2 linked regions of the Caenorhabditis elegans genome follow. The protein of the gene in region 2 binds, or shares a complex with, the protein of the main gene of each other region. Each region holds a gene or a part of one and is shown on either strand. Other genes may lie near its edges.

Region 1 (4,775 bases), on a different chromosome or scaffold from region 2:
GGTAAAGGGCCACGATACACCTAGAAATATTTAAATTCAAGTGAATACCAAAACAAGAACAAATTATGATAAAACATTGTTCACTTAAAAAACAGGATCTCTCGTCTATTTTTGTGGGGACGATCCCCACAAAACCGTTATAAAACATTGCTTCAAAAAACTACAAAAAATTCAATTTTCAGTCGATCCAGACGATCTTATTGCTGAAACCCATGTAAACGAAGACGGAACTTTCGAAGTATCTGGATTTGCAATTTCAATAACTGCAATTGATCCCCAACTACGTATATATCACAATTGTCGTTCATCTTCCAAAGTTTGTCGACGCAAGATTACTTTCACTGTCCCAGACAATTATGTGAACAAGGGGATGCAGGTAATTGATGATACTTCATACTCCATCAAAATAATTTTTCAGGTGAATAAGTGGTTTGACTTAGGAGTTCCTAACATGGAAATCGGTGTGAAGCACAAAGAGGAACCACATTGTTATTAAACTTGCTTGAAACCATTTTTTGTGTAATATATTAAAGTTCGCTTTGCTGGAAATCATTGTTCATTGGCTTTTTATAAAATAAGTCTAAACCACAGAAATAAATGTTAGAGTCATTTTTTTTTTCTTTTAATGAAAGCTAGTATTATTCACAGAATGATTATGCCAAAGGAGACTAAAGAACCGCCTTTTCAATGCCAGCACATTGCACGTGGAATCCTATCTTTTTGTTCTGAAAAAATGAAAAATAGAATAGCTCAGTAAAATTGACAGGACCTACCTCAATCTCGGCGATTTCCACTACCATCAGATCCAATATTTGCCGGATTCCAGCTTCCAATTGAGATCTCTTTTGTATGTGTTCTTCTCCAGTTGCAGACATTCTGGCGGTCTCATCTTCGATTTCTTTCTCGAGGCTTCCATCAAGTTTCATTTGCTTTAGAAGTACTTCTTTTTCATTCAATAGTTGTTCATATCGTTGTTCAATATGTTTGCGAGCATCTTTCCAGCTATCACGTTCGTTTCGACGAATTCGTTCTTCGCGAGCCTCATTCTTCTTCGCTTCACAGAGTGTTTCGCTTTGAATTTGGATTCTTTCTCTGAATTATTGTTTATAAATGTGTATATTATTAACATTCAATGGAACGGCGCTTAATTCGAGTACAACTTACTCTGCGGTAACTGCTTTATTTGAAAATCTTGACTGTTCAGTCTCAAGCTCAAGCTTTCTCTGATGCAACTGTCGGCTGATCTCTGGAACCCATATCTTGTTCAACGTCTCCCAGTAATCCTTAAGATCTCTGAAAATGTAGATTTGTGAATTTTTAATAAATTGTTAGAAATTTACCTTTCATTCGTTGGAGCTCTTAGTGGTTCAAGATTCATTTGAATATTAAGTCCACTGAGAATTTTCATGATTTGTTCTGCGAGATGAATGAATTTGGACTTTTGCTGAAACATACAAATTTGATTGTCATACAAGTATTTCCGTGAATGATAGGCATTCAACTTTCCAAAAACCTAGAATACCTCTTTGAAGAAGTCTTCATCTTTGAGTTTCCATGTTTCTTTTGATAGACGATCCAACTCGCTTTGAATTTCCAGTACCACCTCCTTGTCTTTATTATTGTCAAGATTCATTTGACGCACTTCTTTTCCTGTCAATCCGTGAATTTGTTTTTGCAACTCAATTTTGTTCTTCAGATCGTCCACCATCTTTTGCACTTTTTCATTTTCTGAAATTTTCTCCTCTTGCTCCGACTTCACCATAGCCAGTTCTTTCTCCATATGCTGCTTAACATGAAGATTTTGCTCGAGATAATCTTTAGCTTTTCGGATGTCGTCTCTGATTCTTGATATCTCTTCTTTTAAGCTTGCTTCGTTTCCTTTCTGAAAATAAAACTTCTTTAAAACAAAAGTATCGAAATTCTACTTACATCAGCCTCTATCTCATCACATTCGTAATTGAGCATCTCCAGAGCTGATGCAGCTGTTTTAGTCATATCCTCGAATTCATTGGATTGCTCGAAATACTTCCGTAGACGATGCTTCGTGTCGTCCCAGTATGAAGAACTGGGATTTTCTGCTGCTTTTCGATCATTTGTATAATCTCTGAATGTACTTGTCATCCATGCATAATTGAGCGTTTTTTCTTGAGCTTTTCCCTGTTCCATGAAATCACCGAACAGGATATTTTGTGTGTCCTCACTGACAGCAGAATTGATCTAAATGGTTAAATAAATAGGGATGAAAATAATAAAAAAATCAGTTACTAACTCTAATGATATCAATAAGCCAAGAAAGTGCGTCAAGAAGATGTGGATATCCATGAGAAGATCCCATTGGTTGGTAGTAGCTGTTTTTGAGTGGATACGGGTATCCAAGACCTTTGAATATCTGGGACACCTCCTCTTCAATCCGCTCATGCCGTGGAAATTCGTAGTCTTTACTGAGATGTTGGTAAATTAATTCGAAACAAGCAATGAAATCATTCTTTCCACGAGGTTTCATAATGAGCTGTTCTGATGGTGCATCCGAGCTTTCATATTCCACAAGAAAGTTGTAAATTTTGCTTCCATTTAAGCTGACCAATGATTTCACATCTCGCGGAGCAACTGATGAATTTTTAGTATTAAACAATGACACACGAGGTTGACTCAGACTGGGGCGAGCGTCAGTTCTGCAAATTAGATTAGTTCTTCATCGCACGAAATTGGATATTTTTACTTTCTGACTGATGTTGATCCAGTATAATCGGTGAATCTTTTAGTCGGAGTGATAGCGATTGAGGCACGTCCGTTGAGATTCAAGCCGCCCGTTTTTCTTCGATCTCCAAACATTGTCAAGAAACTGTAATGAGCGAATAAAATTGACCAGAACTGAATATACTAACGGAAGGCGACGCATATAAAATTTAAAAAAATAATTCTGGCAACTATTGAGAACTTTGTTTTCCAACTTAAAGAAGAAAAAACATTTTTACAGAAATATTTATGAAAAAAAAAACGAAAATAGAAATTTGAGTAAAAACAATATCGAGAGAGAGAGAGAGAAGTCACATTTGAATTTTCCCGCTATAGCAATTGTGATTGGAGCGCACTTACATTACAGAGACGCTGCACTCGCGAGGAAACTGATTTCCGGAGATTCCAGAATGAAGGAATTGTTGGAACTTTTGAGATATAATTTCAAACACGATTAATATACAATAGAATTGAATTTTCCTACAATGGTTAGATCATTTCCAGTCGGTATATTGATAAACAGAAGTTGCCCCTTAATATTTGCATTTTTGTAATTGAAGTTTCCAGCCAATAATTACGTCAAATTTTTTTTCTTCGAGAAACTGATATAGTTTACAATAATAAACCAGTATCTTTAACCAATGGAGTGATAACACAGAACTGGATCCTCTTATTCTTTCTCTTTTCTTTCTCCTTAACAAGAACAATTATACCAGTTCCAAGTAATAGCCATGGACGTCTCTAGTATAAAAACATCAGTTCTTTTGGAATTCTTCAGTCCATCACTCACCCTCCAACAGTAATCATGGACATCGACGCTCGTATCAAAGCTTATAAATTTGTTGCCTATTCGGCAGTCACCTTCTCGGTTGTCGCCGTTGTCTCTGTTTTCATCACATTGCCAATGGTTTATAACTATGTTAATAATGTGAAGAAACAGATTCACACTGATGTTAATTTCTGCAAGGTTTCTGCTCGTGATATCTGGAGTGAGGTGCATCTTATTAAGGATGCTCCAGGAAACAATACTCGTGTTGCTCGTCAAGCTTATTCCACTGGAGGAGCTGGAGGAGGCGGAGGCGGAGGTAAGGATCTTGGTTCACAGAGTTTAAGTATTTGAATACATTTTCAGGCGGCGGAGGATGTGATGGATGCTGCAATCCTGGACCACCAGGACCAGGTGGATCTCCCGGAAAACCAGGAAAGCCAGGAAAGCCAGGAGCTCCAGGAGCCCCAGGAAATCCAGGAAAAGGAGCATCAGCTCCATGTGAGCCAGTTACTCAACCACCATGCCAACCATGCCCAGGAGGACCACCAGGACCAGCTGGTCCAGCCGGACCACCAGGACCACCGGGACCAGATGGAAACCCAGGATCACCAGCCGGACCATCAGGCCCAGGACCAGCCGGACCACCAGGACCAGCAGGACCAGCCGGAAACGACGGAGCCCCAGGAGCCCCAGGAGGACCAGGAGAACCAGGAGCATCCGAGCAAGGAGGACCAGGAGAGCCAGGACCAGCTGGACCACCAGGACCAGCCGGACCAGCCGGAAATGACGGAGCCCCAGGAACCGGAGGACCAGGACCAGCTGGACCAAAGGGACCACCAGGAGCTGCTGGAGCACCAGGAGCTGACGGAAACCCAGGAGGACCAGGAACCGCTGGAAAGCCAGGAGGAGAAGGAGAGAAGGGAATCTGCCCCAAGTATTGTGCTATCGACGGAGGAGTCTTCTTTGAGGACGGAACCCGACGCCGCTAAATTTAGAAGCGTGCCGTTTGTGCCAAATAAAGCATTTTTCATTCAACTTCTTTGTTTATAACATCTACATACCACACGAAGAAATATTTTTAAAAACGTAATCCTCGAAATATGTTCAATAATTTTCCATTTTCAAAATTTCCGTTTATTTCTCAATATTTCAATATAACATCTGAGGGGTGTTCAAGCAAAATAATGTGCTTGTATTCACAAATATCAATTATTCTGTTTTTATTCTGGTCGTTAATGTTACAACTCATCATTGGAACGACTTGTGTCTC
Region 2 (4,221 bases):
ATTTTATTTTAATTTCTTGCAGTTTAGTTTATGATTAGTTTATACACATGGAAAGCAATTAACTTCAAAGAGCGTTTCTTTTACATATATAAAACTAAAACATCATCATGTACTATGAATGCTCACCTGAGAGCACATCGAATGTACATCATCAGTGGAAGATCTTGTACCATTTGAATCATCTGGTCGAACTAATCTCTTACCCGAAAGGTCTAATGGTCTGAAAATTATAAAATCTGAAAAGAACATTATTTGAAAAAGCTTACTGCATAATTTGTAGAGTGAATTTTTCAGAAATACAATACAAAAATTGAGAAATGAACGAAAAATGTCAATGTTGAATGCAATAACTCGAGGCCCGCACGATTTATTTAAATTTATTTAGAATTTTGGTAGGATAATATTCAATTCAGAAGGACAATTCCAACTTGTAGAGCTAATGAGCGAAGAGAAGTTTAAAATTTCTGGAAAAGTTTTCATTTCAAGATAATTTTTTTTTCAAAAAACGTTTCAAAACTTCCGACTCTCACTTATTCCCTGTTTGAGCTTTCTCCAAAATAAGAAACCACGCCCACTTTTTGTCTTACTGTAGTCTTAAAGACGCAAACAAAAAAATACAAGGCAAAAAATTCAAAATTTCTAATTTTATTTTTAATTAAAAACAGAGGCACATAATCTCCCCGTAAATACCACTTGAGTGAATTCTTACCTGAAAAGTAAATTGGTGTGAAATTTCTAGAGCCTGGGAATGAAAAGAAAACATTTGAAAATAAAGACCACATGATTTATTTAGACTCAGTTAAAATTTTGTTATTGGTATGGAAGAAAGCATAACATTTACATTGAATAGAGATCAAATGAAGTGAAATTTTCGAGTTGAGTCATTCTATTTGAAAACGGAAAAACTCGAATCGTTAGGTTGTGGATCACAATTTTCCGTGTTCTCTCCGGCGTCGATTGTCGATGATCCGAATGTGTAATCACTCAGAAGGCGTCCGGTAAGAGAGCTTTTTAGACGTTCCATTTCACGTGCAGCTGCAGTGTTCTTCTCAAAAGCTACTTTCTGGGTTTCTTTGAACATTGCATTAAGTTTTGCGAATTTTGCAACAGCATCTTGGCAAGAGTTGGTGATTTGGGAAATCGTCTCACTGTGTGCGTTTTTTAGAGCGAGGAGTTCTTGCTTCTGAAAAAAATGTTGGTGAGTTTTATGAAGATTGATCTGACAAAAACCTTTTTAGCAATTTCCTGTGACACATCTGGCTGACTAGTTTTCAAATTTGCGATTTGCCTGAAAGATTTACATCGTTTAAAAAAATGTTTTCAAAGTATCAAATAAATTCCTCACTCGGTAATCTCCTCAATTCTACGCTGACGCTCTTCACTTTTCTGCGTGTGTTCTATACGCAATTGTTCATGAGTCTCCGACTGCTCGACGAGTCGCTTTTGTGCCGTTTCCATCTCCTTCATCATAAAATCCAATTGCTCCTCCATTTCCTTGAGCTTTCGAAGATTCTCACTTTCAACATCGATCAGGTCAATGATAACTTCTCGAACTTCAGTCCACTGATGGATCTTCTCAATAATCACTGGCACGTTCTTCTCCGAGTTGATGCAAATTTCACGAGCCTCGAGTTTTGCTTGAAGGCCTTTTCTGAAAATAATTACTTTTATTTTGAATTTTTGGAGAGACTGAAGATATATCAGTACTTTGATGATTCAAGACAATCGCGGAGCTCTTCAATGTGACGTTTCCTTTCCTCCATTTCTTGTTTCAGCTGTTCCGGCGATGTCAGAACTTCTTCATTCAAATGCTCAATTGTCTTTTTACCAGTTAGCATTTCCTTTTCGAGGGCTTGAATGTGCAGAATAGCTTCTTCTTTCTGCTTGTCGAGTTCTTCATTAATTTGACGAGTTTCGGTATATTCGTTCACAACATTTTTAAGTTCTGCCTTCGCATTGCTCTGTTCGTTGATTAATTCATGCTCATGACGTTTTCTTATGCTTTGTTTCGCGAGAAGATCATTTTTCTTCTTCTCGGCTTCTAACAACTCTTCCCGAATCTTTTCCATTTCGAACTTTCGATCACTGAACTCTTCGCTAATTTCATTGAACGCTGGAGTGGCCAATTCGTGAAGTTTCAGAAAATCTACAAGAAAACTTGTCAGCTTTCTGAATCGATGTTCGTGTTTTGCAGGTGTCACGAGATCGCACATCGTCAAGTCCAGCTTGTTGCCAGAATTATCTTTGATAAATGCTTTCCTGAAAAAATATTTCAGCAAATCTAACATTAAAATTAAAATCTTACATGCATTGGAAGAGAATAATGATAGGAATGCTCTTTTTATGCAATTCTGGATCATAATCACAGTTGGCGGACAGCGGAAGGGTCGTCAGCGAGCTTTCCGACACATTTAACACAAGCCTCACAAAATTAGCAAATATTTGTTGCGCTATTTCTGCCTGAAATCGGGTTATTTGTGCTGATGAATTCAATATTCTGTTCAAACTTACGGTTGGCTTGATAATGTCATCGGCGACAAGGCCCATATGCAATTTTTGACCAAGATACTTTGAAATCATCCGCGGATCATACACAATTAGTACAACGTTTGACATTTCTCCTGAAAAATGGAATTTCAGTTCTAAAAACACAAAAATAAAGTTAGAAATTGTTAAAAACAAAAAAGTTTATTTGAATTCGCCGAAGAGCGCGCCAAAACATGTGACATTTCTCGGCCGTGAAAACTAGGCCACCGCGGCCACAAACAAATTTTAGTTTTCTTCGCTGAAAAAAACATGTTTTTCAGTCTGAAATCAGAGTTTTTAGTATGAAACAAGATGGACGAGGCTTCCTGTAGATTTCCAGAATGGGTTTCTTCAAAAATCATCGATTATTACGCAGAGCAGGTAACATAAATCGCTGTGATGAAATAGGGACAAAATTTTTTTAATTTCAGAACATCAAAGCGCTGTTCGATTGGCAGATTGATGTGTTGAATGAGGCAAGACAATTTGAAGATCAACACTTGATATTCAGTGCGCCAACAAGTGCTGGGAAAAGCATTGTAGCTGAACTTTTATGTATTATTTTATCTGGTTTAAAGAATAAATGTTTAAAAACTGTAATTTTCAGCATGGAAAGTCGCTTCAACTGGTAGAAAGGTACTCTTCGTACTTCCTTATATCTCCGTGGCTCGAGAGAAACTTCATCAAATTCAACGGTGTTGGAGACGAGATGACATTTCTGTCTGTGGCTTCATTGGTCCACAGGCCTCAAATCCAAATGAGTGGCTTGGGGCAGTTTGTACCATCGAAAAAGCAGCAAGTTTGACAAATCGAGCATTATCAGAAGATTGGTTTGAGGAAATTGGTTAGATAAATCGATTTTAATTTAAAATTTTCACAAAAAGTAGCTTTCAGGAATGATAGTCGTTGATGAAATGCACATGGTTTTCGATTCGTCTCGTGGTGCACACATTGAGCACATGCTCTCGAAAGTTTTGCTCTGGAACCAATCTGCACTGGAAAAAGTTAGAATTATCGGAATGAGTGCAACTATTCCAGAACTTTATCGAATAGGCAAATGGCTGGACGGTGCGAAAGTTTTCGAAGCAAGATTTCGACCAATTGTTCTACAAAATCATATTGTAATTGGTTCGGAGTTGAGGAAATCTGGAGATAACAAAGTTCTAAGAGAATTCTCTGAAGATCCATTAATATTGCTTACCGAAGAGAGTTTTCGCCGCAATTCTCAGACTTTGGTAATGATTTCTTCGAAACTTGATGCCGAGAAGACTGCTTTGAATATTGCGTCGAGATTCCATGAGATCAATAAAACCGACAGCTCATTGTTGGAAATATTAAAAGAACGAGCCAATGGACTATTATTTATAAAGCATGGATTGGAACGGAATGGTTGCAAGGATCGGAATGTTATGTCAACACTTGCATGGGGAGTAGCATATCATCATGCTGGATTGACGATGGAGGAAAGAGAATGCATTGAACTAGGATTTCGGGAGAAAAATATTGTTATTCTTGTGGCTACAAGTACTTTGGCTTCAGGTGAGTGTTTTAAAATTTTAATTGTGGTCAACCGAAATATCGGAAGAAATTAAAAGCAAAATGTTTGTTGAAATATTTTTGGGGAAAAAATTAAATCAAACAATAATTTTCATTTAGGGTGAAGATTTGTTGATAAAAATTTACTTTAAACTTTCA

What was found.
Region 1: him-10 (region 2) and ndc-80 share a complex: the UniProt entries of both Caenorhabditis elegans proteins name them as parts of the NDC80 complex.

Annotation. Positions count from the first base shown.
Region 1 is NC_003282.8:10,084,204-10,088,978, reverse strand, and holds ndc-80 (Kinetochore protein ndc-80), read right to left. Parts: upstream 2,843-4,775; 5' UTR 2,833-2,842; coding exon 2,720-2,832; intron 2,673-2,719; coding exon 2,270-2,672; intron 2,218-2,269; coding exon 1,930-2,217; intron 1,883-1,929; coding exon 1,523-1,882; intron 1,445-1,522; coding exon 1,341-1,444; intron 1,294-1,340; coding exon 1,165-1,293; intron 1,093-1,164; coding exon 774-1,092; intron 726-773; coding exon 669-725; 3' UTR 542-668; downstream 1-541. Other genes in the region: ttr-39 (Transthyretin-like family protein), read left to right, coding at 183-376, 419-496; col-2 (Cuticle collagen 2), read left to right, coding at 3,542-3,821, 3,869-4,494; W01B6.8 (uncharacterized protein), read left to right, coding at 4,606-4,775. UniProt on the Caenorhabditis elegans protein: Acts as a component of the essential kinetochore-associated ndc-80 complex, which is required for chromosome segregation in mitosis and meiosis and spindle checkpoint activity.
Region 2 is NC_003281.10:5,801,660-5,805,880, reverse strand, and holds him-10 (Kinetochore protein Nuf2 homolog), read right to left. Parts: upstream 2,622-4,221; 5' UTR 2,617-2,621; coding exon 2,512-2,616; intron 2,461-2,511; coding exon 2,306-2,460; intron 2,260-2,305; coding exon 1,708-2,259; intron 1,652-1,707; coding exon 1,346-1,651; intron 1,289-1,345; coding exon 1,231-1,288; intron 1,184-1,230; coding exon 887-1,183; 3' UTR 769-886; downstream 1-768. Other genes in the region: R12B2.3 (Ras-associating domain-containing protein), read right to left, coding at 127-220, 267-271; polq-1 (DNA polymerase theta), read left to right, coding at 2,839-2,907, 2,958-3,081, 3,134-3,370, 3,421-4,065. UniProt on the Caenorhabditis elegans protein: Acts as a component of the essential kinetochore-associated NDC80 complex, which is required for chromosome segregation in mitosis and meiosis and spindle checkpoint activity.